Mus musculus: one gene and its partners. The protein of the gene in region 3 purifies or fractionates together with the protein of the main gene of each other region. This does not show direct contact. Links are inferred from orthologs where the notes say so. Each region holds a gene or a part of one and is shown on either strand. Other genes may lie near its edges. The genes, in order: Akap11, Prkaca, Vapb, Osbpl11, Vps13a, Wdr44 and Aftph.

Region 1 (4,587 bases), on a different chromosome or scaffold from region 3:
TTAGAGTTAACTTAGAGATGCGGCTACCTGTGTAGTGAAAATGGAGGACAGAAAGCCAAAGGCAAGAGGCCTCTCAGGCCATTCGCTTCTCAAGTAGTTTAAAACAACAAAATGATAAAAAAAAAAAAAAATCTACATATTTTAAATACAAGTCAGCAGCCAGCGCTTAGGGCTCTGACTTAACACATTTTGGAGACTGTCAAGGTCATTGGAAATTGGTTCTCACAGGATTGTCTTTTACCTGGACGAGTTCCTTGTTGTTTCAGCTTCCGTAAAATTCACTCTCTACAGGGAAGAGCTTACTAGTTTTTTGTTTTTTTTTTTAAACTAATTGTTATTGTTCCCCCCTTTAAGAGGTCAAAGCTTTTCATTGTAGACTAAACTCCCAGTTCTTTTCTTGGTTGATGAAGCAGTAAGGGATCTAGCCTCTATTATCATCCCAAGTTTATTTCTTGTTATTCAAATGTGCTAGATTAGATCCGGATTTGGGGCTTGTGAATTATTCTACTTTCTGCTAGCGATGTAGGGCTGCTATCCAAATCACTGCCTGAATCTTTCCTCCCACAAGGGCACCACCCCCAAGCAGTGGCCCAATTGTAACCACCACCATCAGATGATGATAATCTGCGAGTTAACACCTACAGATATCCACCCCCTCCCCCAACCCGGCCCCAGCTCTCAACAACCTAATCTATTTGTCTTCATAGTGTTCAATAGACAACCTGGAATTATGCCTAAAACGTGTAAGGAAAGCAGCCAAAAGCTGTTGAAGAGAACGAAGATATGACTGTACTCTTTCTTGTCTCTCTCCCCTAAAGAGGATAAAACAAATAAGGAGCATCTACTTCAAAATGTCCTTCTCATCTCTCGGCCAGTTTGAGGACCGTATGTCCTTGAGGAGACCATGCAACATGACTGCACCGATTCCTCTGATTTAAACAGGAATCACACAGCTTGTCACCCAAGGCTAGGCTTCTTGGTGGTCAAAGCCTTATTTTCCAATTTCAATGGCCCGTGGGGTTGGGAAGTGCACTGCCCTTTAGACTGACTCCAGAGGTTCCGATTGGGCCCAAGGCTTCCTCAGTGGTTTCCCCTGATGATGTTGGGAACCGGGCAGACCCATTCTGAAGGATGGGCTGTGTCTGGACCCCTGATGTCGTGGGCTGCCACTGGCTGTGGGAAACCAGCCCCAGGAAGGTCTAAGGGTGGCGGATGGGATGCCAGCATCCTGGGCTCGGGCGCTTGCCAGAGGAAAGGGTTAAGCCGTTCCCAAGGCAACGCACCAGGAAGCGCGCAAGACGTCAGCCGAGAGTTCGTAGGTCAGCTCGAGGTTTAAAGCTCCCACGGGCCGAGGGCCGCCTGGCCAATGGAGAGGGCGCCTCCGCGTCACGTGACGGGCGACCCGCAGCTTTGCCCTCCAGAGCACGTGGGAAGATATTTTCCCCCCACCCCTTGTTCCTTTTGCGCGGGCTCGGCCACGGGGTCGTTCTCGCGAGAGGTGCGACGGCTCTCGCGAGAGTGAGTGGGCGGCGTGGGGAGGCGGCGGCGGTGGCGTCGCGGGCTGGGGCGGGCGAGGGGGAGCGCCGCTGCGCTGCGGCTCGCGCCACCGGGCGTTGCGGGCCGTGACGGGAGGCTGACATGCCCGGGAGCTGAGAGGCTGTGCCGCCTGGTGAGCGGGGCAGGGAACCGGGAGCCAGAGGGCCGGGTCCAGACTGCGGCCGGGCGCCGTGGCCTCGCTGCGTGGGGCGCGGGCGGGAGGACGGTGCACTTTGTCCTCCGCAGCAGCATCCTTCCCTGTCAGCGTCCGAACCCAGGTCCCCGGCGCTGCCCTAACCCCAGATGCCGCTGTTTGCATCGCTGTCACGTCGCCTCCAGGCTGGCCAAGCATCCGAATTGCGCTATCAAATAGAAAATGGGCTGGCCAGACCACAGTGACAGTACAGTCTAAACCCCTGGTATAGCTTGGTGACAGTCCTTTAGCTCTGCCTACGGTCTTTAAAAAGAAAAGAAAAGAAAAAAAAACCCTATTAGTTGGAGGTGGCTTAGCTTTAGGCATTAAGGCATTTTGCGGTGAGCAATACTGCTGAGACACATCGCTAATGGCCTTGGCGCATACTGGAGTTAATATTCGCAGTTCTTTTATAGCCTTGTGATTATCCATTTGCTTCTAAATCGCTTGTTTTCCTTTGCATCTTTCTCACCTTGTTAGCAGTGTTATTTATATTGGTACTCAATTTTGTTATGTATGAAAATATATAAAATAAGGGCATCAGGAAAGATGGAGTATTTATTCATGCAAAGGTGATTTTGTTTTAATGTCTTTGTGTTTGCTTGGTGTGTGTGTGTGTATGTGTTGGTGTGTGTGCTGGTAAAAGGCAGCCTAGTATGATTGATGTCATTTTCAATAGTCCCACCTAATCTTTCAAACTATAGAAGCATTTTTTTCAAGGAATAACCTGGTTATTCATACTTGATTGTGTTTTCCAGGCAGGATTGTGAATCATAGGTTGGCAGTAAATTAAGCAATTAGTTGTGTAGTTAGTAACTGACTTATGAGGGATGAAGGGATATGAGGGAATTGGGGAAGACGTGGGTTTATAAGCTGAGCTGTGGCTAATGTAGATAGCTACAGAACTGCTCAACTGATCTGCCTGGAAAGGAATTGGCAGTATATACTCTGTGCCCAGTGATGTTTCTCAGTTGTTGAAGATTCTGAAGTTGGAGGCCCAGAACTGTAGTGAGAGATTTGCTAGCCTTCTCAAGCCTCTGAATTCCAGGGCTTCGTCAGGGAAACAGAAGAAAATCCTTTGGGAGAAAGGATGGTACATTTTATTTTAATTCCAAAGACTTAGTGTCTGGGAAAGGAACTCAGCCAATTCCGATCATAATGCAGCAGGTTGTGTAAAGGGAAATTTCCAGCTATAAATAGGGGAATTCTAGTCACACAGGGAGATATGAAAAACTTAGGTGAGTGGGCAAAGGAGTTAGCAAAAGTTCCCTTCCACTCATCTTTGTTGCTAGTCTTTCTAAGTTGTGGCAAGGGTTTCAGACTTTTAGAGCAATGGTTGCTTTGTCTTGTGTTTGGAAAGCAATTGAAGTAACTTTGGATGGAGCAATTACTTAGGTAATCCAAGTGTTGTTTTTTGTTTTTTTTTTTTTCATTTTTTCTTTTTCTTTTTGTGAAGTGGCCCCAGTAGTTAAATAAATAAATAAATAAATAAATAAATAAATAAATAAATAAAAAATTAGCCACTCAGAGAGAATGAGTGTTGAGCCAGGTTAGAGAACTCTTGAGTTTAGCTTGTGTGAAGTTGGGCATACCCTGGCATTCTGGCACAGGGAAAACATGCTTTACCATCTTAAAAGCAAATGGGGCAGATCCATATATTTTCATTTTTTTCTGTTCATGCTTACAGAAAGAAATTAATTGAACATGACCTCCTGGAGATAAGCATTTAGACTGTGTGGATTATTGACTAGACTTGACAGAAGGAGGAAGCGGAGAGATTTTGGATTAGCCTCTGCTTACTGGGAGCTTTTTCTTTGACCTTCCTTAATGGTTTGAGGATTATTTGGCTGCCAGAATCAAAAAGCCATTAGAATTAGCTTACTTGAAAAAGGCATTTGTTGGGGCTGGCGAGATGGCTCAGTGGTTAAGAGCGCCGACTGCTCTTCTGAAGGTCCCGAGTTCAAATCCCAGCAACCACATGGTGGCTCACAACCATCCATAACGAAATCTGATGCCCTCTTCTGGAGTGTCTGAAGACAGCTACAGTGTACTTACATATAATAAATAAATAAATCTTAAAAAAAAAAAGAAAAAGGCATTTGTCATATTGTTGGAGCACTGATGCTAAGGTCCAGTTTGTGATTCTAGCTCAGTGGCCTGGAGACTGGGAAGTCTTGAGGTTGAAATGCACCAAGTTTTCTCTTAGTTCTTTGCTATTAGTTGCATGCTCTCTTCAGTTGTCAAACACTGACCTTCTCCTGAGACCTCCTGGGCTTTTTCTTTGCTTTGTAAGAGTGTTCACATCAGACCCACCTTGACTTTGCATCATGGTTCCTAACAGAGCTCTTCCACTCTCAGTTCTAAATGTCTGTGTATCGAGAGAATGTCGTGGTCAGCTTTCTACTTCTTGTCAGGTTGGTTGTAGTGTGGATTAGGAAGATGGGACTAGGAGATGGAGGGTGGGGAGCCACACTGTAGTCCTAAAAAGGACTTGAGCCTTTCAGACTGCTTCAGCAAGGTCTTTAACATGGGAGGTCTGTAGTTGGGAGCAGATGATGGATACCTATGGTGTACTGTAGTATCTTGGAGTTGGAGTTCTTCCCCCAAGCCCAGCATTTCCCTTGGTCTCAGCTATGTAGAGTTGTAAACTGCGTCCAGTGGTCCCTTTCCAGGACAGGTTATCTTGGGTTTGTTAGGTTGGACAGGCTGCTTAAAACAGTTTATATAATGGGCATAGTGCTACCGTGAGAATTCTAGATGCACATGTGTAAACTGTTGGTTTCCAGCTGGCAGATGGCAGTTATGGTGCAGAAGTATGTTGTGTACTGTCTTGTTGCTGACTGTGGACTGGGCGTCTG
Region 2 (3,802 bases), on a different chromosome or scaffold from region 3:
TTTGGTTTTTCAAGACAGGGTTTCTCTGTGTAGCCCTGGCTGTCCTGGAACTTACTTTGTAGACCAGGCTGGCCTCGAACTCAGAAATCCGCCTGCCTCTGCCTCCCGAGTGCTGGGATTAAAGGCGTGCGCCACCACCGCACGGCTAGAAGCTAGTTCTTATGGGTGTAAATCCAGAGGAAGCGTGCAGAATTGTATAAGAGCTTTTGGAGGTACATGACTGGGTGAACCATACAAGCTATTTTATCCAGGCTGAGGAACTACCCTTATTTTCGAAGCCCTCGGAGCCCTCAGAGGAGCTGCCTGAAGGATCCCAGCGAGGATACAAGTCTGCAGACCTAAGAATGGAACCTCCTACAGTTCTGTTCCCTGCGACCTTACCCAGAATTCCCGAGCCAGCAAACTAAGGAGGGCATTCAACATGTTTTTTTTTTTTGTTTGCATGGCCACTGGGCCTAAAGGCAGAGCCCTGTGTATGTTGGGCTCCGACCTGCCCCAGCGCTGTAGTGCTAGCTCCAACAAGCCATCTCTGTTTATATTTTATCTACTTTAATTTGTGTGTCTGTATGTGCATGTGTACACATGCATACAGTAACCTTGGAGGCCAAAGGCATTAGATCCCCTAAGAATGGAGTTACAGGTGGTTATAGGCCAATGGAGGTCCTGGGAACAAACCAGGACCTTTGCAAGAACAAAGCCATCTGTTAGTGCAGCAATGAGTTTTTGGGTTTTTTGAGACAGGTATTCTTATGTAGCCTTGGCTGGTCTTGCCGTATAGATCAAGCTGGCCTTAAACTCACATCACAGAGATCCACTTGCCTGACTGGATGCTGATGTTGAGATTATCTGTGAGTGCCACCGCACTCTAACAAGCCATTGTTTTGTTGTTTTTTGAGTGTTTCCCCCCCCCCCCTTGGTTTTTTTTTCTTCTTCTACTTCTTCCTCTTTTTTTTTTTTTTTTCTTTTCGGAGACAGGGTTTGTTTGTTTGGCCCTGGCTGTCCTGGAACTCCCTCTGTAAACTAGACTGGCCACAAACTCACAGAGATACACATGCCTTGGACTCCCAAGTGCTGGGATTAAAGGCATGGGCCACCACTGCCCAGCCCCACAAGCCTTCTTAACAGATTCTCCCTGTAGGCCTATTGGATAGAACAGGTCCTAGTCTGCCAGGTACAGTGGTACATACTCTACACTAGCACTCAGGAGGCTAGGAGACAGGATTGTGTGGTTAAGGCCAGTTTGAGCTACACATTAAGATCCTTTCTCACCCAGTACGGTGGTGTACACGTTTAATCCCAGTACTTGGAAGGATAGGTGGATCTCTGAGTTTGAAGGCAGCCTGGTCTACAGAGAGTTTCAGGACAGCCAGGGCTACACAGAGAAACCTTGTCTGCGGTATCAGAGGAGGGGGTGGGAATTGTGTCAAAAATGGAGAAGGTGGCATTCTGGACCCCCAAAGCCTATGAGCAGCGCCCCACTCGTATCTACACCCCTTCCAGGTGCGGTTCCCATCCCACTTCAGCTCTGACTTGAAGGACCTGCTGCGGAACCTTCTGCAGGTGGATCTCACCAAGCGCTTTGGGAACCTCAAGAACGGGGTCAATGACATCAAGAACCACAAGTGGTTTGCCACGACTGACTGGATTGCCATCTATCAGAGAAAGGTGGGCTTCTTTTTCCCATACCCAAAGTTGGACTTACGGCTAGGATAGCATAGACAGCCCATTAAGTTCCAGACTAAACAGAAGGCTTCCTCAAGCCAGTAAGGGACTATACATGGTGGATACTGGGTTTTTCTGGCCACTTTGTGGTCTTAGGCAGGAAATATCCTCTGGGAAGTGACTTCCATTTGATAAGTTGGGTTGCAGAGAAGACCTTAATGTTGAGCTCAGGCCTGGGTCACAGCAAGTGTTGTTTGAATATTAAGCCATTCACCTTTATTGTTGTGATGGTAAGGTCAGCTAATGTGATCTGGGTGGTTTTGATTCCTATCCAGGTGGAAGCTCCCTTCATACCAAAGTTTAAAGGCCCTGGGGACACGAGTAACTTTGACGACTATGAGGAGGAAGAGATCCGGGTCTCCATCAATGAGAAGTGTGGCAAGGAGTTTACTGAGTTTTAGGGGTGTGCTTGTGCCCCTTGGGTTCTCTTTCATTTTTTCTTTTTCTTTCTATTTTTTTTCCGGTTGGGGGTGGGAGGGTTGGATCGAACAGCCAGAGGGCCCTAGAGTTCCATGCATCTAATTTAACATCCACTCCACACCCCCAGGGTTAAGGAGAGCAGGAAAGCGCTCCAGATACTGGGGAAGGGGCAACATCAGCTGCTCCCCCTCTCCCTTCTTCTCCACCCTTCCCTGCCTGTTTTCAATGAATTTCTTAGCTCCAGCCATACCCAATCTTGCTGGTGTATCCAGGGGCAGGGTACGGAAAGAGGGCCCCAAATTCAGCCTCCTTCCCGACCCTAGCACTGGATACTAAGGATGAACGAACAGTAACGCCAACCTTCCCTTCCATGCAGCCCTACCTGGAAAGGGAGATTTTATGACCTGTACAGAGGGCTGCTTGCCAGTGGGGTTTTTTTTTTTTTTCATTTAAATTAAGTTCCACCAGTGCCTCCCACCCTCCAAACTGTCCCACCCTCCCCAAACACCCTCCTCACTCCCTAAATCCATTCTGATGAGACCCGGGTAGCCAACTGACCCTGTCAAGGAAGGAACTGGGCTTGGAATCTCGCCCTGAGCTGCTAGCCTCCCGGCCCCCCTTTCCAGTGGTCTCATGCCAATTGTCCTGTGCATCAGCCCCCTTAAGAAGCCTCCCCCATCCTGGGCGCCTCGCTTCTAGCTTAGCTGTCAGCTGTCCATCACCTCTTGCCGTGCGTCCCCACTCACTGCAACCCCAAGTCTGATTGTGCTTTTTCTCTCAATAGAAAGGTGGGGAGCTGCTGGGGAAATTACCCCATTTATCCCTGTGTTTATCCCTCTCGTAACTTCTCCCAAAAAGGAGGAGCTCTCAGGCCTGGGTGGGGGCCCCGGGTGGACGAGGGGGTCGTTCAACCTGTGTGCTTCGAAGGATGAGACTTCCTCTTGAACAGTGTGCTGTTGTAAACATATTTGAAAACTATTACCAATAAAGTTTTGTTTTAAAATAAAAGTGTCGCTGGTTTTCCCGACTTCGATCACACCCTTGGGGTGTTGGAAAGGGAATTTCGAACCTCAATGTCCAGGTTCTGGAGACCCCGGCCTCGGGACCTTGGAGAAACCAGGTTTGGCTGGAATTCCTGTACTTCCTCCGCCTGGCCAGAGAAAGGAGGGGTGGGGTGGGCAAACTGTCCTTTGACCCTGAGTTCGGGGCCCTCAAATCTGCTCCCACCCCTACTTCGGTCTAGTCCGGGACAGAGAGGGCACTGGAGAGGGCCACTCGGACCGGTTCGGCCAAACAGCAGCAGGATTAGCAGGGTAGGAGAAAAGGGGAGCCCCGCGCGCCCCCAAGCCCTCATGTAGGCGCGGCAGGGCCGCTGGTGAGGTCTCCGCGGCTTCCCAGGAGCGAGGCGCGTCCGGCCGCGGCGCGGCTAGTTCCCGGTAAGTGCGGTCCCGAGAGCGCTGAGCGCGGAGAGGCGTGGAGAGGGGGCTGGGCGCCGAGGACGTCTGGGTCCCGCGCCCAATGGCTGGAGGGCGGCCGAACGCCGCCCGCGCGCCCCGCCCGCCCCTGTCCCCTCCCCCCTGGGCTCCCCTCCCCCTCCCCCGCCCGCCGCGCTCCCCGCCCCCGCTCCGGCGCCAACTCCGCGGCGCCTCCTTAAAAAGCG
Region 3 (3,818 bases):
AGGGTCTGTAGAGTGTCATCTACAGAAAGGACAGCCAGTGCGAGGCAGACAGCTGCTTCTCTTCTTGTTTCTGCAGTGGGGGAGGGGCAAGTCTCCACCTTATACCCAGAGCTTCTTAGAAGAGCACTCCAGAGGCCCTGGTTCCCATTCTGGGCTGAGGTTCTCTGGTTATCCTCACTGGGGCCCTGAACATTGATGTATGTTGACTTAGGAATTGTGACTGGCCACCACTAGGCCTGCCTGTGTGCCCTGCCATCAAGTGTTTCTCTGGGCTCTCCACTATGGGGCTGAGCAGTAGGGTGCTGTAGTCTAGGAATGGGGGTAGTGAGGCTGTAGACCAGGATGCTGTAGGCCCAGGAGTGGGGTGGTGAGGCTGTCGACCATGATGCTGTAGGCCAGGAGTGGGGTGGTGAGGCTGTCGACCATGATGCTGTAGGCCAGGAGTGAGGTGGTGAGGCTGTCGACCATGATGCTGTAGGCCAGGAGTGGGGTGGTGATGGTTGTAGGCAAAGCTGCGGTTTTGAGGTCTTGAGGTATATGCTTACTCAGAGTAGCACAGGGATCATATGCAGTGCTGCCTTCAAAGCTGCCCCTGTGGCTCAGGCATGGGTGCAGATAGTTCCTTTCTCTTTAGGTTGCCTATAGAAAGGGCCCATAGGCACTAGTCCAGTTGATTCCCTCTAGAGAGGGCCAGGAAGGCAGTGTATGTGGCAGCTGTGCTCCTGTGTAGTCTCTAAACTTTTTGTGTTAGGGACAGTTGAAGACCCCAAAGAGTGTAGCAGGTCTTTGTGAGCTGTAGTGATATTTATTATATTAAAATTTTTTAAATGACTAATTTCTTTAAAAATTACAATCCGTCAATTACATGTTAGTAGTAATACTTTTTATGAAAGTAGCTATTCTCAAAGAAATTGGAAGGCTGGCGTTGTTGACAGCTTCTGCAAATCTGACGTCTTAATAGGCTGCTTCTCGTGTCTGCTTCATTCAGTACGCTGCACCGCTGTCGTGGTGGGTGGGTCTCCCAGACAGGAAGTTAACAGCATCTTTAGACAGCTCTGAGGCAGACAAGAAGCATTTTCTTTGTTTTGCTTCTTTTTTTTTTTTTCAATACTAGGGTTGACCCAGGCTTTGCGTGTGCTTTGTAGACCAAGCTGGCCTCAAATTGAGAGCCACCTGCCTCCGCCTCTGCCTCCAGAGTGCGGGATTAAAGGTGTGGGCTACCAACTACAGGCAAATCGGACCCATAGTGTGGGAATGAATGTAAGCCTGGACTCAGCCAGGCAGGAACCCCTCCTAGCCTTTTATCTCCTCCTATCTAGGAAGGAGAAACTTCTCATGGGACAGACTGCAGAAGGCAGGCCTGATATCCTTTGATACACAGTAGCAGGAGCTGTGGGGCAGACCTTTGGGTTTGTGTGTGTGTGTGTGTGTGTGTGTGTGTGTGCGTGCGTGCGTGTGCCTGTGTGTGTGTGTGTGTGTGTGTGCGTGTGTGCGTGCCTGTGTGTGTGTGCGTGCGTGCGTGTGCCTGTGTGTGTGTGTGTGTGCGTGTGTGCGTGCCTGTGTGTGTGTGCGTGTGTGCGTGCCTGTGTGTGTGTGTGTGTGTGTGTGTGCGCGCGTGCCTGTGTGTGTGTGTGTGTGTGTGTGTGCGTGCCTGTGTGTGTGTGCATGCGTGCCTGTGTGTGTGTGTGTGTGTGTGTGTGCGCGCGCGTGCCTGTGTGTGTGTGTGTGTGTGTGCGTGCCTCTGTGTGTGTGTGCGTGCCTATGTGTGTGTGTGCGTGTGTGTGTGTGTGTGTGTGTGCGCACGCGTACGTGTGTGCGTGCCTGTGTGTGTGTGTGTGCGCGCGCGTGCGCGTGTGTGCGTGCCTGTGTGTGTGTGTGTGTGTGTGTGCGCGCGTGCCTGTGTGTGTGTGTGTGTGTGTGCGTGTGTGCGTGCCTGTGTGTGTGCGTGCGTGTGTGCGTGCCTGTGTGTGTGTGTGTGCGTGTGTGCGTGCCTGTGTGTGTGTGTGTGCGTGTGTGCGTGCCTGTGTGTGTGTGTGCGTGTGTGCGTGCCTGTGTGTGTGCGTGCGTGTGTGCGTGCCTGTGTGTGTGTGTGTGCGTGTGTGCGTGCCTGTGTGTGCGTGTGTGCGTGCCTGTGTGTGTGTGTGCGTGTGTGCGTGCCTGTGTGTGTGCGCGCGTGTGCATGCATTTGTGGACTAAGGAAACTGGGTTCTATTTCAGGTTTTTCTGTTTTTTATTTTGCTGTTGTTGTTGTTTTAATCAGAAAAATAGACAGCAGAATAATGCCCTCCTCCCACAGCAGCGCCTGCTTCTTCGGATGGAGTGGGGTAATGGCAGTCTGAAGAGCAGGAGCCTAGGTTCTGGTTGGAGATGCAAGGCCCACACTGACTCTGAGGTGCCCCCTGATTGTGAACTTAGGTTTCAGGGAAGGCCACTAGGGGCAAAGCTTATTAAAGCTGTGCAGCAGAGAGAGTATAGCAGCCCTCCTATAACTGGGCCTGGCTGAGTCATGGGGAAACAGGTCCGAGGAAGTGAATCAGAATACAAGACTCCCTCAGTACAGCGGGGTGCCTTGGGTGAGCTCCCTCTGGGTTCTGGGTGGGGGTAGGGCAGGAGTTGGAATTGCTTTTCCTGCTGTGGCAAATCCAGCTTTTATGCCGTCTCCAGAATTCTATTGGCAAAATCATATTTCAAGCCTTACCTTGATGAGCTGCGTGGGAAATGGGGTGGAGAGAAGTGAAAACCATCCTGAAATGATTTGAGTTATTCTGTTTTCTTTCTCGAAAAGATCATTTGGCAATGTTTCCTTGAGAAAAATAGGACTTTGGTGTTTCTCCCATTTTATGTCTTCAGCGAGAGCTGTGAGATAGGTGAGGGTGGCTCTGTGTGAGCGCACAATCTTTGTATCAGAAATCAGGCACCCAAGTTCCAGACCCACCTACAGCTCAGCTGGCACCTGCTGTGAGGCTGGGACAGGCCCCAGTTTTTCTGGCCTTAACTGCTGACCTGAAAGATGGGGGTTGGGGAAGTTGTACATCTCTGCTGGCCACGGCCTTCCTCAGGGTCCAGATGGGAGAGCTGGGGAGCTGTTTTCCTCCACAGTGTAAGACCTAGCGTGACAAACGACTCCGATAACCACATTGTGACCCTCCTAATGAAATATTTTCTTTCTCAGTGATGTTACAGCCTTTCGATTATGATCCCAATGAGAAAAGTAAACACAAGTTTATGGTTCAGTCTATGTTTGCTCCGCCTGACACTTCTGATATGGAGGCAGTAGTAAGTACGAACACTTCTTCTTCTCTCCAGCCCGCTAGGGCAGCCATGGCGGGTGCTGTTAGGGAGGTGTACACTCAGGCCCCTGTACCACTTTCCCAACTTTGATGAATAGCTTTAACATTTTACATGGCTGTTCTTTTCTGACTCGATGAACTGAACTTGCTTCAATTCTCTGCTCTTGTGGACCTTCTCCTCCCTCTCCTGCACCACAGCGGCGTGCTCTATCCTGAGTGGATGCTTCTGGCCTGTCTCCAGCCCTCATGCCCGGAAGGGTTTGCCTAACATTAAATGCCCCTCCCCTCCCCCCCAGTGATACTGCCCGCTGTTGCTTTCCTCTGCGGAGCGGAAGTAGCTCTGGTCAGCTTTGTTCTTCCCTCTTTACTGAGGACGGAGCTTGGGTCTTGTTCACACTAAGCATCTGCTCTGTCTCTGAACAGGCCCTGCTTCTTTGTTCTTTAATTGCCTTCATTTTTATCCCTCCTTCCTCATGTAAGTACATGTTTAACAGTGTCCCTAATTTTGGTAAAATTAAGATGCCTTCG
Region 4 (4,256 bases), on a different chromosome or scaffold from region 3:
TTTAATTCTAGGAGACTGAGGTAAGCAAATCTTTGAGTTCAAAGTCAGCCTGGGACAAAGCAAGTTTTAGGTTCAGGTATGGTGGCACACGCCTTTAATCTAAGCCACATCTTCTACTGGAGGCCTACATCAGGACCTTGAAGAAAGAAGGTTCACTCTTCTTCAACTGATTGTACTTACTTGCTAGCAAGTCTGTTGGAATCTATTTCCACAGAAGACCAGCTTATACTAGCCTCACAGGCCTGACTTCCCACTCACAGCTGCCCATTGTTGGGTTAGTTGGACTACAGACTGTAAGTCATTACAATAAATTCCCTTACTATATAGAGACACTCCATATGTTCTATGACTCCAGAGAACCCTAAGACAAGGATTATTTCTTTTTTTTTTTTCCGAGACAGGGTTTCTCTGTGTAGCCCTGGCTGTCCTGGAACTCACTCTGTAGACCAGGCTGGCCTCGAACTCAGAAATCCGCCTGCCTCTGCCTCCCAAGTGCTGGGATTAAAGACGTGTGTCACCACACCCGGCTAAGGATTATTTCTTAAGTACACCAGTGTGGTTCTTTCAAGTAGTTGTTACCCAGGTTAATCATGCCCACCTGGTAGAGGTAAACTTTCCCTGTGCCTAGACAAAGAGTTAATGGCAGGCTGGGCCTTGCAGATGGTTGTGGTCCTGCATTGCCCCTGTGTCTTGTTTTAGGAATGCTCTTTGATGGGTATAATGGCAGGTTGTCTCCTTTTGCTGTGGGAGTGGAGCCTAACTGGAGGTCAAGCTGAGGGGATAAACAGTAAGAGAAACTTCTTCAGAGACCCCAAACTTCAATTATGGTAAAAGTTTTCTTTCTTACAGTTTGTAACAAACGTGGCAATAAACTACTTTTCTTCCAGTGTTATTGGTCCTTTTTAAGTAAGCTTATTAGTAAATCCTTTTTATATCAATCTACTTCAAGTTTCTCCAGCATCACCAAGAGCTCTAATTTCCAAGACAATTTCCTTTTCTTTAAGACGATTTACCTTAGTCCAATATCATGTTGGGTTTTTTGTTGCTCAAAAATGACTGATCAGTTATTTTTCCCCACTTTGTTCTGTAAATTCTTATTTTTTTAGGTTCCCTTAAAAGGCAAGGAATGGGGCTCCCCAAGAGAGTATAGGACCTGTTTAGCAAGACCGTTTCATTCCCTTTTTCTCCCTCCCTCCCGCCTGCTGCCTCTTTCCCCACTGCTTCTTTCAGCTCCTTCTCTCCCTTGAGGCTCCGGTCACCGCCTCCTTTCGGGATCGTCTGCCCCAATCAAAGATGGCGCCGCCGCTTCAATGCTAGCGGAAATGAGCTCACACGACACCGGAAAGGAAGGCGGGGAGAGCTAGCAGGCGGGTGGGTGACCGGCTGTGGGTGGGGCGGCGGCCCGGGCCCTGGCTCTGGCTTTTACGTTTAGGGCTAAGGAAGCTCCAGGGAGCGGTCGGCTCCTGTGAACTCCGTGGGGCTCCAGGGCTAGCGCTCTCGGAGGAGGCCACGGTGAACCCCTCGCCTCCGGCCCAAGCTCAGCGGCCTCGGAGCCCGCGTCCTGCCCGGCGGCGTCTGCCCGACCCTCCGCGGGCTTCGCGCGACCGCTCCGGCTCAGTTCGGGGCTGCGGTGGGAACCGCGGAGCTGGCTGGACAGGGCCCTTTCTCCCGAGGACCCGGCTGAGGAGAAGAAGCGGCGCGGCTGGCCCGACCCCCGAGTCCTGAGGTCAGGCCGTGGGCTCCGGGGCTCCCGGGCCGTGGACCCCGTCCTTGCCCCGCGTTCCCAGGCAGAGGATCCGCGACCTCGCCCGCGCCGCCCGGCTGCTCCTCGGAGTGTGGCACCGAGCCCTCTGGCGGGGTGATTTGTCCTCCTTGTTCTTGCTCGGGAGAGGCATCTATCTGAAGGGTACCCGTGCTCTTTAAAACTTTTAACCAAAGTGGAAATGCGTGTCCTCTTTTTCTGGACCACTGTCGATTTCCACTCTAGCCGAGGTCTGAGATCCCGTTGAGAGTAAAAAAACGAGAGAGAGAAAGGGGGAAAAGTACTTACAAAATAACTCTGCACTTGGTGTCCCTCGCCCGAGAAGGGCAGATGAACTTTGGAGTTAAGATGCAGGGAGGTGAGCCGGCATCGGTGATGAAAGTCTCCGAGAGTGAAGGGAAGCTGGAGGGCTTGGCCACAGCAGTGACCCCGAACAAGAACAGCGGCAACAGCAGCTGTGGGGGTGCCATCAGCAGTAGCAGCAGCAACAGCAGCCGCGGTGGCAGTGCGAAAGGCTGGCAGTACAGGTATGGCCCTCCAAAGTGATGTTCTGGGGTGGCTCGGAGTGTGATGGGGTCTGCATATCCCAGTTGGAAGGCCAATTCCAAAGCGGCTGATGATCTGACTTGGAGATAGAACCCTGCTTTCGTGAGCAGGATTGACTTTCTTCAGAAATTCATTCAACAGGTAATTTTTTGAGGCCCTTTGAGGAATTCAGAAATGTACCCCAGAGTTTTCTCGATTATCCAAGGGCTTATTCTTCCTCTGATTTATCTCTACACTCACTTCTGGTTTTTGCCTCTGTTGTAATCTGTTTACAAGCAAGCCTGAACGTCTCTTAGAGCAGAAACTGTGGAACTCAGCGCTTTGAGAGGCAAATGCTGGTCTTCAAAACTTGTGGAATGATTCGAGTAACAAGAGTCAGAGAAGATCTTATCCTTTGGTTGCTTGTGACTTAGAGAAGGGGAGGGACTTAAATACAGAGGCTGATAAGCAGTAGAGTGTAATCAGGCTACTTGAAAACTCTTGAAATTCTACATTTGTTAGTTTTTTTTTTTTTTTTTTTTGGTTTTTTCGAGACAGGGTTTCTCTGTGTAGCCCTGGCTGTCCTGGAGCTCACTTTGTAGACCAGGCTGGCCTCGAACTCAGAAATCCGCCTGCCTCTGCCTCCCGAGTGCTGGGATCAAAGGCGTGTGCCACCACGCCCGGCCATTTGTTAGTTTTTATTAATGTAAATGAAAAACTTGGAGAAATATCAAAAGCTTCATTTTGGTGCTTTAAAAAATATATGTATAAAGGGTTTGTAAAACAAAAAAATATATGTATATGTATGTATGTGTGTGTGTATATATATATATATATATACATATATATATATATAGTATAGGGAGAGATTACTACCCATAATTCTAAGAATGAATGGAATTAGGGCATCCTATAATGTTGGATCTACACTGATGAATACTGAAATTTTGGGTAACTGCTTGTATGTTTAATTCTAGTTGGTTTTGTTTGTTTGGTTTGGTTTTTGATTGTGTTAAACTCTTTGACTACACTTGTAAGACTTGGAAGGGGTAGGAACCAAGATGTTGTGAAAGCTACATATTTATCATGAGTACTATCCATATGTATGAACTGCGCGTGTGTTACAATATGCAGATGTGGGCTGGGCGTGGTGGTGCTCTCTCTTAATCCTGGAGCATGGGAGACAGGCAGGAGAATCTCTGTGAGTTTTGAGGCAAGCCTCATATCTGCATAGTAAATTCCAGCACAGCTAGGACTATATATCACCCTGTATCACCTAATATGCAAATATATGTCTATGTGAAATATGCAGGCATGAACCTACAGAAGTGAGAAGAGTAGCTAACTTTGTAATTGGCAATGGGGATTGAAGTCAAGTCAGTGTAACTCTCCCCCTTTGTGATTTTTTTCATTTTATTTTTTTATGGGTGTGAATGTTTGCCTGCATGTATGTATGTATGTATGTATGTTTGCATATGTGTGCACTGGCTCTATTGAATCTAGAAGAAGGCATCAGATCCTCTGGACCTGGACTCATCATGGAGCTGCCACATGGGTTCTGGGAACCAAACCCAGGTCCTCTGGAAGAGCAGCTAGTGTTCTTAACTGCTGAGCCATCTCTCCAGCCCCTCTCAATTTATGTGTTAAGATGAACCATAAGAAAATTCTTTTTTGTGGGGATATTTTGATATCATTCAAGGAAGTAAGGAAAAGTTCAAGATAACCAGAGGTCAGTCTTATAGTAGCAATTCTGAAAACCACTCTAAATTAAAGTGAAAAATGAAGTAGAATTAGAGCAAATATTAGGTGCTCAAAACTCATGGTCTCGCCGGGAGGTGGTGGCGAACGCCTTTAACCCCAGCACTCGGGAGGCAGAGGTAGGTGGATTTCTGAGTTCCAGGCCAGCCTGGTCTACAGAGTGAGTTCCAGGACAGCCAGGGCTATACAGAGAAACCCTGTCTCGAAACCC
Region 5 (4,605 bases), on a different chromosome or scaffold from region 3:
ATAGTGCACAGCTACATCTTGATACAAAACTGGTGATGGTGCAACATAACAGAGCCATTTCAGACATCAGTGTCAAGGTGTATTAGTTAAGTTTGAGGGGTGGATTCATGGGGGAGGGGGGACCATAATAAAATGCTCGAGACTGGTTCTTATAGACAAAGTAATACATTTGGCTCAGTTTTGCAGGCTGAAAATTCAAACAGCATAGCAGCAGCTATGGTGAAGATCACACACACACACACACACACACACACACACACACGAGAGAGAGACAGAGAGAGACAGAGACAGAGAGATACACACACAGAGACAGAGAGAAAGCTCACAAAAAGAAACTGAAAGCTAAGGTGAGAGGCCACTGTGCCTTGTTAGGCCTACATCTAAAAGATCCAGCACCTCTTATCAGTGCCAGACTAGGGGCTAAGCTTCCAACATAGAACTTTTAGGAGACACAATCAGACTTTAACCAAATCCTATCATTTCACTTCTCATAAAGTTACATATTTACTTACCACTCACAATCCCACTGCTAGGCATTTACTCCAAAGAAATAATTTATGTTCACACTAACACCTGATGCACCTTGCCCTTTAACTGCCAAAAAGGAAATACTGCAAAGATGGCAAACCTGTGTCTATAACAAGCCCTAACGTCCTGCATACATCACCTTGTCCTGCCATTCCCGTGCTTCTGAGCAGGACAAGGTGATGTATGCAGGACGTGAATGACGCATGGACGACTTCTCTGCATTCTGTTAAGAAGCCTGACTCAAGCCGCTACACAGAAGCTGAGTGTGATGGCACAGGCCTTTAACCCCAGCACTCAGGAACCAAAGCAAGAAGATTCTAAGTTCCAGGCCAGCCTGGGCTACATAGTGAAACTGGATCTCAAAAAGAAAAAAGCTACAAAGCCAAAGGATTCAGTTTATAACACTCTTAAAAATAAAAGCAAACCAGCAGACTGTGAACAGATAAGTAACTGCCACTCGAGGAAGAATCAATTACAAAGAAAAGAAGTGGGAATTTCCTAGGCTTATAATCTTTTTGTATCATTATTGAGATAGTTGAAACATTCTTAAGGTTTATTAAAACAAAACTATTCACAAGACTCAACTTTATTCTAGGTAAACTTTAAATACATAAATTTGGTGAATTATAGTTTACACAGCCTGCACCTTAAATGTACAAAACATTTCACTACAAATCAAACCACTGTTCAAGTAACGTTTTCTTGTTCATTTTATTGTTTTCATCTGTATGTATGAGTGTTTTGCCTGTGTGTATGTCTGTGCACTACACGCTTGTGTGCAGTGGCCCCTAGAGCCAGAAGAGAAAGGCAGATGCCCTGGGACAGATGATTGTAAGCTGTCATGTGGACACCAGGCTTGGATCCAAGTCATCTGGAAAGGTAGCCAGCGCTTTTCACCACTGAGCCATCTCTCCAGGTACCAGCTCAGATATTCTTCCAGGCTTTTTTTCTGAGCTACAGAGTTTTGTTATCCTCACTCTGCAACTGAGAAGCAGCGCAGACTAAGCAACTTGCAAGTACCTGATCTCAAAGAGGCTGTGCTAGCTCTTACAGATCAATTGCCCACGTTATCGTGGAAGAAGGTACCTAGCTACATTGAGGGCTTGTTTGTTTAATAAAACTAAATTACTTGTTTTCATTATTTCAAAAATGAGAAGGCTCAAGATAAACGAGAACTTTTAGAAAGTTTTAAGTAAGTACATTATCAGAGAATGCACACACTATTTACACAAATAATTAACCCTAACTTTGGCCTGGAACGTTCATTTCAAAAAAGGCCTCTACTTGCTAATAGCTACTTAAAATAAACAAGAGTCTAATGCAATACAGATGGAAACACTAAAAATAAGACACTGTATTAGGTAAATCATTGCAGTGAAGGGGTAGATGCAGCCCTTCCCATCTAAGCAACAGAGAGGAGTGCTCATCACGTCTTCGTCAGGTCCGAGAAACGGAAAGCCCAAATTACATTTTGACCGTCTGTTTTCCTGCATTTTCTTTTCGTTCTTTAAAAAAACAAAAAACTCAGGTCTTACAAACACCCACATTCCCACCTGGTCAGGCTGCGACCTGAAAACCTAAGTAACTCTGAGATACTCTGAAAGGGGCTTTCCTTTCCTTTTATTCCCCCTGTCATTTGCCTGTCCCAGCTAAGCAACACCCAAGTCCAAGTTCAGTGGCCGGACCGGAACTCGCCTAGAAAGCACGGTGAAGTGGGGCAGGGAAGGGACGAAGGGTGTCTTCGCGGACGGCGCCTGGTCTTCACGTGCAAGTCGGCGTGCGACTCCCCGTGGGCTCGCCGGAGCCTTCCTGACAGCCCGGGGCCAAACTGCCAGGGATGCCTCCCTTGCCCAGCGGAGGCCAAGGGTCACCAGCACCCGGCCCCACCGGGACGCGAGGCTTCAGCCAGCGCCTCCCCCAACCTCACGGCTCGCGCCGCCCGCCCGCCCGCCCGGGAACCGCCGCCCCGCTTTACATAACTTGAAGGGCGAGGCGGGCAGCTGCAGGTGGCGGCGCCGGGCTGGCCAAGGACCGAAGCCACGAGAAACCGCGCCGCCGTCTCCCGCGACCCTGGAGCGGCGACCCCGTTACCTTTCCAAATGCCCAGGGAGAGCTGGGACTCGTCCAGGTTCACCACATAGTCTCCCAGGAACCGGTTCAACACTTCCACGACCACCGACTCGAATACCATTTTTTTTCCTCTCTGCCGCGGAGGGCACCGCGGCACTACCCGGGCTGCTCCTCCCTCGAGACGGCTCGGCTTACCGGCTCCCGGCCCGCTCCAGCTACGGTGCGGGTGCTGCCGGGTCCCCTCAACCCGACCGCGAGCCCCACAGAAGGAAGGTAGCCGCTCGCACCACGCGTGCGCAGCTCGGGCTGCGCGTGGGGGCGTGACCGACGCGGAACTGGAGGCGCGGCCGGGAGCGAGAGTGAAGGACGGCGGCTGCGCAGCCGCGGGCCCGCCCTTGCCCGCGAGCGGACCGCCGGGCCTCTCCCGCCGGCCGCGCCTCCTATCCGTCGCTTAGCAACAGAACACCAGTCGAGCGCTGGAGACCCCGCCCCGGAATGATTCTCCTTTTTACCCGCAGCGAACTTTCTCTAGGAGGCGGGGCGTGATGATAACCGACAGGAACGCCGCTTCCGAAAGAGAAAACTAAGATCGCGGGATCCAAAGAGTGGAGAGTGTACAGCTTGGTGCGAGGTTGCGGGAAGTTTCCTGAGGCAGTTTCCCAGGACGCTTTTCCCCCATTATTACCAGTTGTGAGGTTCGGCCAGCCTTGGTGCTTGGGTACTTCCTGACGTTCTCCCTTCTCCTGGCAAGGATGCGAACTGGCCCTTCAGTTGCCTTCCCTTACTTCCTCAGCTACTAATCTGTGCTGAGGAGGGGCGAGGGAGAGTAAAGTTGGGAGATAAATTCCAAGTTCTTAATGTGCAACTGCTCTTGGCACCTTTTTCCGGTCAAATCATTTATGTGAAAGCCGCCAGTCATGTTAAAGAGTAGCACGTTTGAGTCAGTCCGGAGACAGCAGAGAGCCTGCCAAGAACCAAGAAAGACACCTCTGAGCCTTAGTGGCCAAGCTAAAATAAGTAGTGTCTCCGCTCCACGCTTGGACTTAGAGAAAATTGGTCCCAAAGTCCTGAGGTCACAAGACAGAGGTGCAACTTACAGAACCGACATTAATCCTCTGAGGATTTCAGAGGCAGCAGTACACTTTCAACTTTCTCTTCGCAAGGCACATCCTGATTTGGCACTGAGTGTATTTTGTGCATAGTCATCAAGTATCTCAAATTTATTTCAGAAAAAAAAAAGAGCAAAAATAGTGTAAACTTTTTTAAGCTTTTAAAGAATATATTAGCATATATTTTACAAAATAATGGGTTTCATTATAACATCTTGATAAATGTGTATATTTTGGTCGTTTATTACCCATGACTCTTTCTTGTCCTATTGACTGATTCCTTCTTCCCAAATAGGACCCCTTCTGTTTTCATGGATTTTTCTATCAAGATTCTAAACCTTCATCCATGTTGGTTTTTTTTAATGAGTTTTTATTTAGCACAATTTTAAATTTCATTTGTGTGTGTGTATAAGTGTTTTCTACATCCGTACCTGGTACCCTCAGGAATAGCTCTCTGGTTATTGGCGTTACAGGAGGTTGTGAGCCTCCATGTGGGTGGGTGCTGGCAACGGAGTTCAGGTCCTCTGAAGCAAATGCTATTAGGCAGTGTCGTCTCTTGAGCCTATTCTAAAATTTGATCCCAGAGAAGATATAAAACACTGGACTGCTTCTCCTATGGTCCCCAAGGACAAACGCAGATATGATTCCATCAAAGTTCACGTTGGAGAACCAATGAGTTTGTTGGGCTTCCTTAAAGAGCATATCTGAGGACTTCGTTATGGGAGTGTGGGTGTGGGAAGTACTTACCCAACAGGGATGAAGGCTTCTCCATTGTAGCTTCATAGACAGAACCCACTCTTCTAGTCTTCCCCATCCACAACCCCAGTTTGTCAGTCCTCAAACTGTGGGTATCCACAAGGGTCCTGAATAAGCCTTTCACAGGGGTCGTCTAAGACCA
Region 6 (3,818 bases), on a different chromosome or scaffold from region 3:
AAACTATTACTTGTAATATTTTGGGATATCAAGGTGAATCTTACTGAACAGCAGTAATTATCAATTCTACCAGGATAGGTCTGGAACTACTCTGTTAACTTAGTGGAGCTGGGGAATTGAAAAAGTAGAAATTATCCATGGTTGGCACATTAGAAGAATGAATAGATCAGGGGACTTAATGCATTAGTAAGGACAACACTGGGTAGAAGAGGCGTGCTGGAGAGATGGCCCAGAGGTTAAGGGCACTGGGTTCAATTGCCAGCACCCACATGGCAGCTCACAACAGTCAGTAACTACTGTTCCAGGGGATCCAACACCCTCACACAGACATATATGCAGGCAAAACACCAATGTATATAAAATAAAATTAATAAATTGTTTAAAAGGCTGGGTAGAAGATATATTTTCTTCTAAATATTACTTAAGGATATAGATCACCTATGTGTATTTTTTTCTCTTAGACATGAGAAATGGAGTAGGAGCAATGTGGGCTGATATTTGAGCTCTTTTCATAGGTCTGTCCTCAGTCTGAGGAATGAAACCTTGCTTATAATTTTTCAAGAGTGTTCATCACCTTGCACCTTCTGGCTTGCCTCCTATACTCTTGAGTTCAGACTGAAACAAACTGAATTCTTATCCTAGGTGGATTTTGTTAACTAGAGATATCAGGGAGTTGTTGTAACTAGTGTGGCAGCGCTATGTAAATGAACTCTTGACATTTGGAGTCTTCATGAAAAGATATATGACTTCACCTTACAAGGTTGACTGAATTTTTGTGACTATTTTAATATAGATTCTCTATTATAGTGTTTAAGAGTATAGATTCTGAAAGCAAACTTTCAGGATTTATGATCCTTTTATTACTGTCTCACTCTAAAACTTAGGGCAAATTACATGGTCCATATATACTTTAGTTCCTTCATATGTCAAATGATGAAATTAGAAGTGAAACCTCATATAGGTTATTGTAAAGATTAAATTCAATGAAATGTTATAGACATTGCCTGACATGTGCTGAATTATCTATTATTTTGTTATTGTAAATAGCTTCATTATTTTTAAAACTGCTTTTTAACCTTTCATTAGATAATTGAAAGTATTATTGAGGAAAGTCAGAAAGTACTACAATTGGAAGATGACTCTTTGGACTCCAAAGGAAAAGGACTTTCTGATGAGGCTACTGCAGGTCCTTCTGTGGCTGGGACAGAGTTTAGTAACATACCTGGACTATTAGCCATAGAGCATGAACTACAACAAGATTCCGAAAAGGCAGAAAGTCAGAATGTAGCTGAAGAAAGTGAACTAGAAACACAAAAATGTTTTCCTTCTGATGAGACCTGTGAGAAAAGTGAGAAGACAGTAGATGAGACTGATAATTTAACTGAAGTAAGTTCAGGTGAGCAGCTTGATGCTTCTGGACTAGAAGCTGAAACACTGAACAAGGAAGCATTGGAAGTCAAAGAAGGTGATGTTCTAGATCCTGCCTCCTTGGACACTTTATCTACTACAGATTTTGCTGCTGTGGAAGAAGTGGCTCCTGCCAAACCCCCAAGGCACCTTACTCCAGAACCTGATATAGTAGCCAGTACAAAGAAGCCTGTTCCTGCGCGCCCACCCCCACCAACTAATTTCCCGCCTCCTAGACCCCCACCTCCATCTCGACCTGCACCACCACCAAGAAAAAAGAAAAGCGAACTGGAGTTTGAGGCTCTTAAAACACCTGATCTGGATGGCAAGTATTAATAGAGAAATACTTTGGTTGGGAAAGATGAGAGTTGAAACTTTAATGTTTCTGCTTTTGGTTGGGGAGAAGTAAGAGTGGGTCTTTTAATGTCATCCGGGCTAGCATGAAATTTACTATGTTGACCAGGCTACCCTTGAACTTACAGAGATCCTTCTGCCTATACCTCCCAAGCATAGTCATTTGCCATGATTCTCAGCTAACTTTTCTGCTTTTGTTTCAGTTTGTGCTAAAGAAAAAAACACAGATAGCTAGGTTATATAAATTATTTCTTGAATAAGTTGACAAAAGGTGAAAGGTAATAAGTTATAGTAATATTACTGAATATCTTGGCAAACTCTAGACTCTGATATCTTTTACATTCTAAGAATTTATATGGCAATGGTGGAAAGAAAATGCAATTAAAAAACTTATAATATAAATTTAAATCCTAGATCTTTGAATGTATAAACTGTAGTCTTGAACCATGGCTTTTCAATAAGGAAAACAAGTAATAAAAGCCACTGTTTTGCTCTTATTCTCTTGTTCTTGCTCCTGCTCCCCCTCTCCTCCTTCCCCTCCCCCCTCTCTCTCCACACACTCATGGCTGACCCTCTTCCCTCTCCCTCTCCCTCTCCTCCCCCTCTCTCTCCTCCCCCCTCTCTCCCTCTCTTTCTTCCCATCTCTCCCCCTCTCTCTCCTCCCATCTCTCCCCCTCTCTCTCCTCCCATCTCTCCCCCTCTCTCTCCTCCCATCTCTCCCCCTCTCTCTCCTTCCATCTCTCCCCCTCTCTCTCCTCCCTTCTCCATGCCCTGAATACACTCTACTATATTCTAAAAATAAAAAGACACTGTTCTTACAGTCTTGTTACAAGAATTAAATAAAGGTTAAAAGCACTTGGTATATGTGTGTGTGTGTGCGTGCACATGTATGCATATATATAATTGTTGATATTATTGTTTTGTTATAAATATCATTGTCATTTTTGTTATTACTATTATTAGTTTTATTATCATTTCAGTACCCAAAGAAAATATTACATCTGATTCTCTGCTAACTACAAATATGGCTTCAGAGAATACAGTTAGAGATTCCCTGCCTTCCCTCGATTTAGCAAGTGCTACCAGTGGAGATAAAATAGTAACTGCCCAGGTTGGTGAATTACTGTTATATTTGATATCAGAGAATTCAAACTGTATAACTGTCTGATATAATTATTGAAACTATCTTTCTTCTCTAGGCAAAATATTTCTTTGTTCCCAACACCTGACCACTTCCATGTCTAGCTTGGCTACTAAATAGTTTAGTGAGGTTAGCTAGCTATTTAGCTTCTGATTTTTAGAGGCCTCACTGATAAAACAGAGGGAAATGGCCCACCTTGAAGGTTTTCTGCAAGAATAAAATGTGCTACTATATGCCAAGTGTGTATTTATAAAAATGGTTGCTGCTGTGTTTAATGCTGTAAGTTTCCTTTACTATACATAAAAAAAAAAAAAATCATGTACTAGGCTGTTGGCTATACAAAAATACTGCATAGCATTTTACCACAGCCAAATTTTGGAACTCTGGATAATTTATAGAGTAGCTGACGTGAGGGGGGTTAACAAACCTGGAAATGTGACATTATCATCTTATAGCAATACAATAGAGGTTATAAATAGCCTGTTTTTTGTAGAATTTTGTGTTTGCCTTTTTAAAATTTTTTTAATATAGAAGAATATGCAATGACAACTGTATGTAAAAATTTTAACATATTTGTTGTCTAGATTTTTATATAAACAGAACTTGTCCTAACCCTTCTTTAGCAATATCCACATATGGCCTGAATTAATTACAATCTTAATAGAGAACTGCTGTTTTGGATAGGTTCAAATAAAACATTTATTTGTTTGTAATAATAATAAGGCATGATTTCATGAATAGCAGTAGTTTTGGTGTCTAATGTCTTTCAGCATGCAGAGGATAATAAAGAACTAAAATCTGTCCTTTAAATTTTCAGTAGGCTCTTTTATCTGATTTGTGGAATTTTATAGAAGTGCTCATAGTAATGAATAACTAAAATGTATAGAAATTGTTTCAGTCTGTCTGTTTATACAAT
Region 7 (3,818 bases), on a different chromosome or scaffold from region 3:
GGTTTTTTTTTTTTCCCAGATATTCCAGTTAGTTCTAGCAAATGGGAGGCAAAATGTGACTGAATCTTGTTAAAGAATAGAATGAAAAATGCTTCTTTAACAAGATTCAGTCACATTTTGCCTCTTGTGGGGAGTGGGTCTACATGTGTGGTCAAGGCGAGGACATTGGGTCCTTATTCCTTTGAGGCAGATTGCTCACTGAACCTGGACTAGGCTACAGGCCAGCAAGCCCCAGCTTTCTCTGTCCAGGATTCACAATGCTGGGATTACAGGCATGCATGAACAGCTAACTGCACCCATCTTTTAGGTGGGTCCTGAGGATTTGCACTCGGTCGGGTCTTCAGGTTTGCACAGCAAACACAGCTATCTGCCCAGCCTCTGAGTTATAGTATAAAGTTTGGTGTTTGTGGGTGAATTATTGCTAAATGAAAATGTCCTATCTATTAAGCAAAAATCTCATGTTATTATAAGGAGTAAATTGAATGTAAGGGGAAAATGTGGTTTAAAAACTCAAGAAAGCTAAGTGTGGTGGTGCAGACCTATAATCCCAGCACTACAGAGGTGAAAGCAGGAGGGTCAGGAGGGAGCGAGCTCAGACTCATCCTTCTCTCACGCTAGCTCAAGTTCAGCCTGGGCTACATGAAAGAAACCCTGTTTCAATGAACAACAAAGTAACAACAACAAAGCAACTGTAAAATGAAGTCTAAATTCTACCACTTATATGTGCCTGTAAAGTACAATTGTTTTGTTTTGTTTTTATCCACAGCTTACTTTCTGTGAGTAGGCTCTAATTTTATTGGCATGGAACTGGAACATTATGATTTTTTTCAGTTTGTTGTGGAATTTTCTGTGCCTGAGGTTTTGTTTTGTTTTGTTTTTAAATTAGTTGCTGCTCACTTACTTACCTTGTATTGTATGCTTCTCTGTTCTAGATGAATACAGTCCAGAACTTTTCTTTAACTTGTTGGTTACTTGGATTTCTTTTTTTCTCAGACAGTAGGACTCCAGAGGCTGTTGTGTAGTCTCTTAGTCTAAGTGGGACTTGTAGATAATTTGGTAAGCTTGCCAGCAGTAGCTTCTTGATGCACGTTAGCTGGCTTTAAGGAGTTGGTAGTAAAACTTACACTTCATTTTTGAACTTTATTGCCTGTAATAATAAAAAACTTACTACTTTTAAGGTTTTAAAACACTAAATGTATTTAGTGAATATAAATAGATTTATGGGTGGGTAGTGGAATTGTAGCAAGTGTCACCATGCCTCCCTTTTTACTTGAGTAAGCAGTGAACTAAGTAAGGCCCCTCATGCTTGCCAGGCCAGTGCTTTTTCCAGTGATGTCTCTGATACAAAGCTTAACGACACCTCTATTTCTTCTGTGGTGCATCTCAGATGGAAGACTGCACCTGAAATAGTCATTTCAGTGTCTGGTTCTCCAACTTCATCAGAGTCATTTGGAAGATTTAAGACACAGGTTTCTGTGGGTGGGGTTTGGTGGTGCATACCTTCAATCTCAGTACTAGGGAGGGGATCTCTAAAATCAAGGCCGGCCAGCCTAATCTACAGACAACGTGGGCTGCCCAGAGTAAATTCTGTCTCAAAAAGAAAAAGAAAGAGGAAACAAAAATCAAAAAGACACACTATCTTAAGCTTTTTTATAATCCGAGGCAGAGCTTGAGAATTTATACAGTTGATCAGGTTTTAGGTGCTGTTGATTGGCAACCACAACTTGGGCACCACTGGTTTAAATCGTAGTTCGAATTAAGAAGCATTTAAGGCATATTTTAATATACGTGGTGTAGCACTTTGACCATGAACTTACTTTCATCTTCTACTGCATGGAAGGAGGCCTGCCACATGTAGTAACATTAGGAATTGGGAGGTTGGGGAGAAGAGGAGTTCATTGTGTAAATTGCTTTTTATTAGTTTCTACCTCAGTGAGAGTAGGGAGTCTCCTGAAAGGCAGTTTTAGAAATGTACAGATTTTGAAATTACTGGTTAGTAGCTTTGATCTCATATACACATGCACACATATAGTTAAAAATGATTTTTGTATGAAATATAAACCAATAAATATTTCAGAGCTCATCAGGTTGTTTGGTTTTGTTTGGCTGGTCTCCAGAAGATGTAAGCATAAACATTTACCCTGGACCTCAGCTGTGGTTTATATATGTCAAAGCCTTGCTGCTTTGTGCTGTTAACCTGAGTTAGCTATTTCCATATTTGGTAGAACCTTGATACCAAATGATTTGCTTGTTTGTTTCCATATCAATCTACAATATTTTCATTTTTTACTTTAAAAAAGTATGTTTGAATTGTTTCAGATCCAGTGGAGTACATACAGTGTCTTGCCCTCTGAAGTGGCAGTCTGTCTATACTTTCTTTGCCAGACCCAGAATCTAAGTACTGAGACACCAGCTCAGATTTAAACATATTAAATTCACACTAAAAGACATATGCTTTCAACATACCACTATGTTAGAAATAATTGCCTTTTCATATAATATTAGTGTCTTTTTTGTTGTTGTTGTCTTTTTGAGACAGGGTTCCTCTGTGTAGCCCTGACTGTCCTGGAACTCACTTTGTAGACCAGGCTGACCTCGAATTCCACCTGCCTCTGCCTTCCAAGTGCTGGGATTAAAGGCGTGCGCCACCACCACCTGGCTAATATTAGTGTCTTAAGTAGCATAAAATAAAATATTATTGAAAATGGAAGATTTGGGACTGGAGAGATAGCTCAGCGGTTAAGAGCACTGACTGTTCTTCCAAAGGTCCTGAGTTCAATTCATAGCAACCACATGGTGGCTCACAACCATCTGTAATGGGATCTGATGCCCTTTCTGGAGTGTCAAGGACAGTGTGGTCATATACATAAAATAAATAAATATTTTTTAAAAAAAAAAATGGAAGCTGGGCGGTGGCTTTCTGAGTTCGAGGCCAGCCTGGTCTACAGAGTGAGTTCCAGGACAGCCAGGGCTGCACAGAGAAACCCTGTCTCGAAAAACCATAAATAAATAAATAAATAAATAAATAAATAAATAAATAAATAAATATTAAAAATTTAAAAAAATAGATTTGACTTCAAAACATTTTATTCTAAAATAATCTTTTATATATATATATATATATATATATATATATATATTATTTGAATTTTTTCTTTTCTCTTACATTGCCATTATTATAAGCTTTGTATCTATCCATTTCCAATTAATGACTAATATATCTTTTTCAGGGAATGTTAGAGCCCACCAAGGAACCATTAAAACCACTATCTGCTGCAGAAAAAATTGCTTCTATTGGTCAGACAACCGTTATGACACCAGAAATAAACACGTGTACATCTGATCCATTCCAGGTAAGCTGTCCATGTGTATGCAAGTGGCTATGCATTTATACAGACGCGTAATCACACATGCTGGCTTATTTTTCTTAATATGTCTTTCATTTTATATTTGTAAAACTTGAAAGTGGACATGTTTTAGATTGTTACTTAACATTCTTAGGCTACAGTGAAGAAATAATCTGTAATTTTTAAAAATAAGAAGATAAAATACAAAACAAGATTTATTATTAGTAAGTTTTAAACCAGTCCAAGTCACAGTCTTAGTTTTTAAGATCATAAATACCGACACAAATATAGTAAGTGCCAGATTTTCAAACACTAGAAAACACAACATTTGTACTAACGCTTACAAGTTATATCTAACAAATGTATGTTTGTACAGTTCTTCCCAAAATGTATATTCTATATCAGTAGCCCACTAAAGCATTGTTCCAGGGTAAAGTAAGTTTGGAGAAAATATTATACCCTCACAACCAC

What was found.
Region 1: the proteins of Vapb (region 3) and Akap11 purify together in Homo sapiens (affinity purification with mass spectrometry; 3 studies listed by BioGRID and IntAct, counting the BioPlex papers as one, with this or other methods). This does not show direct contact. The link is inferred for Mus musculus from reciprocal best matches to the Homo sapiens genes VAPB and AKAP11.
Region 2: the proteins of Vapb (region 3) and Prkaca purify together in Homo sapiens (affinity purification with mass spectrometry; 4 studies listed by BioGRID and IntAct, with this or other methods). This does not show direct contact. The link is inferred for Mus musculus from reciprocal best matches to the Homo sapiens genes VAPB and PRKACA.
Region 4: the proteins of Vapb (region 3) and Osbpl11 purify together in Homo sapiens (affinity purification with mass spectrometry; 4 studies listed by BioGRID and IntAct, counting the BioPlex papers as one, with this or other methods). This does not show direct contact. The link is inferred for Mus musculus from reciprocal best matches to the Homo sapiens genes VAPB and OSBPL11.
Region 5: the proteins of Vapb (region 3) and Vps13a purify together in Homo sapiens (affinity purification with mass spectrometry; 3 studies listed by BioGRID and IntAct, counting the BioPlex papers as one, with this or other methods). This does not show direct contact. The link is inferred for Mus musculus from reciprocal best matches to the Homo sapiens genes VAPB and VPS13A.
Region 6: the proteins of Vapb (region 3) and Wdr44 purify together in Homo sapiens (affinity purification with mass spectrometry; 4 studies listed by BioGRID and IntAct, counting the BioPlex papers as one, with this or other methods). This does not show direct contact. The link is inferred for Mus musculus from reciprocal best matches to the Homo sapiens genes VAPB and WDR44.
Region 7: the proteins of Vapb (region 3) and Aftph purify together in Homo sapiens (affinity purification with mass spectrometry; 3 studies listed by BioGRID and IntAct, counting the BioPlex papers as one, with this or other methods). This does not show direct contact. The link is inferred for Mus musculus from reciprocal best matches to the Homo sapiens genes VAPB and AFTPH.

The regions. Positions count from the first base shown.
Region 1 is NC_000080.6:78,533,794-78,538,380, reverse strand, and holds the start of Akap11 (A-kinase anchor protein 11), read left to right. Parts: upstream 1-1,520; 5' UTR 1,521-1,669; intron 1,670-4,587. UniProt on the Homo sapiens protein: Binds to type II regulatory subunits of protein kinase A and anchors/targets them.
Region 2 is NC_000074.6:83,993,295-83,997,096, forward strand, and holds the end of Prkaca (cAMP-dependent protein kinase catalytic subunit alpha), read left to right. Parts: intron 1-1,500; coding exon 1,501-1,665; intron 1,666-1,997; coding exon 1,998-2,123; 3' UTR 2,124-3,150; downstream 3,151-3,802.
Region 3 is NC_000068.7:173,768,349-173,772,166, forward strand, and holds part of Vapb (vesicle-associated membrane protein-associated protein B), read left to right. Parts: intron 1-3,172; coding exon 3,173-3,276; intron 3,277-3,818. UniProt on the Homo sapiens protein: Endoplasmic reticulum (ER)-anchored protein that mediates the formation of contact sites between the ER and endosomes via interaction with FFAT motif-containing proteins such as STARD3 or WDR44.
Region 4 is NC_000082.6:33,183,712-33,187,967, forward strand, and holds the start of Osbpl11 (oxysterol-binding protein-related protein 11), read left to right. Parts: upstream 1-1,359; 5' UTR 1,360-2,092; coding exon 2,093-2,289; intron 2,290-4,256. UniProt on the Homo sapiens protein: Plays a role in regulating ADIPOQ and FABP4 levels in differentiating adipocytes and is also involved in regulation of adipocyte triglyceride storage. Weakly binds 25-hydroxycholesterol. Interacts with OSBPL9 to function as lipid transfer proteins.
Region 5 is NC_000085.6:16,778,051-16,782,655, forward strand, and holds the start of Vps13a (vacuolar protein sorting-associated protein 13A), read right to left. Parts: upstream 2,884-4,605; 5' UTR 2,720-2,883; coding exon 2,620-2,719; intron 1-2,619. UniProt on the Homo sapiens protein: Mediates the transfer of lipids between membranes at organelle contact sites. Binds phospholipids. Required for the formation or stabilization of ER-mitochondria contact sites which enable transfer of lipids between the ER and mitochondria.
Region 6 is NC_000086.7:23,755,354-23,759,171, forward strand, and holds part of Wdr44 (WD repeat-containing protein 44), read left to right. Parts: intron 1-1,086; coding exon 1,087-1,732; intron 1,733-2,741; coding exon 2,742-2,872; intron 2,873-3,818. UniProt on the Homo sapiens protein: Downstream effector for Rab11 which regulates Rab11 intracellular membrane trafficking functions such as endocytic recycling, intracellular ciliogenesis and protein export.
Region 7 is NC_000077.6:20,703,246-20,707,063, reverse strand, and holds part of Aftph (aftiphilin), read left to right. Parts: intron 1-3,230; coding exon 3,231-3,353; intron 3,354-3,818. UniProt on the Homo sapiens protein: Component of clathrin-coated vesicles.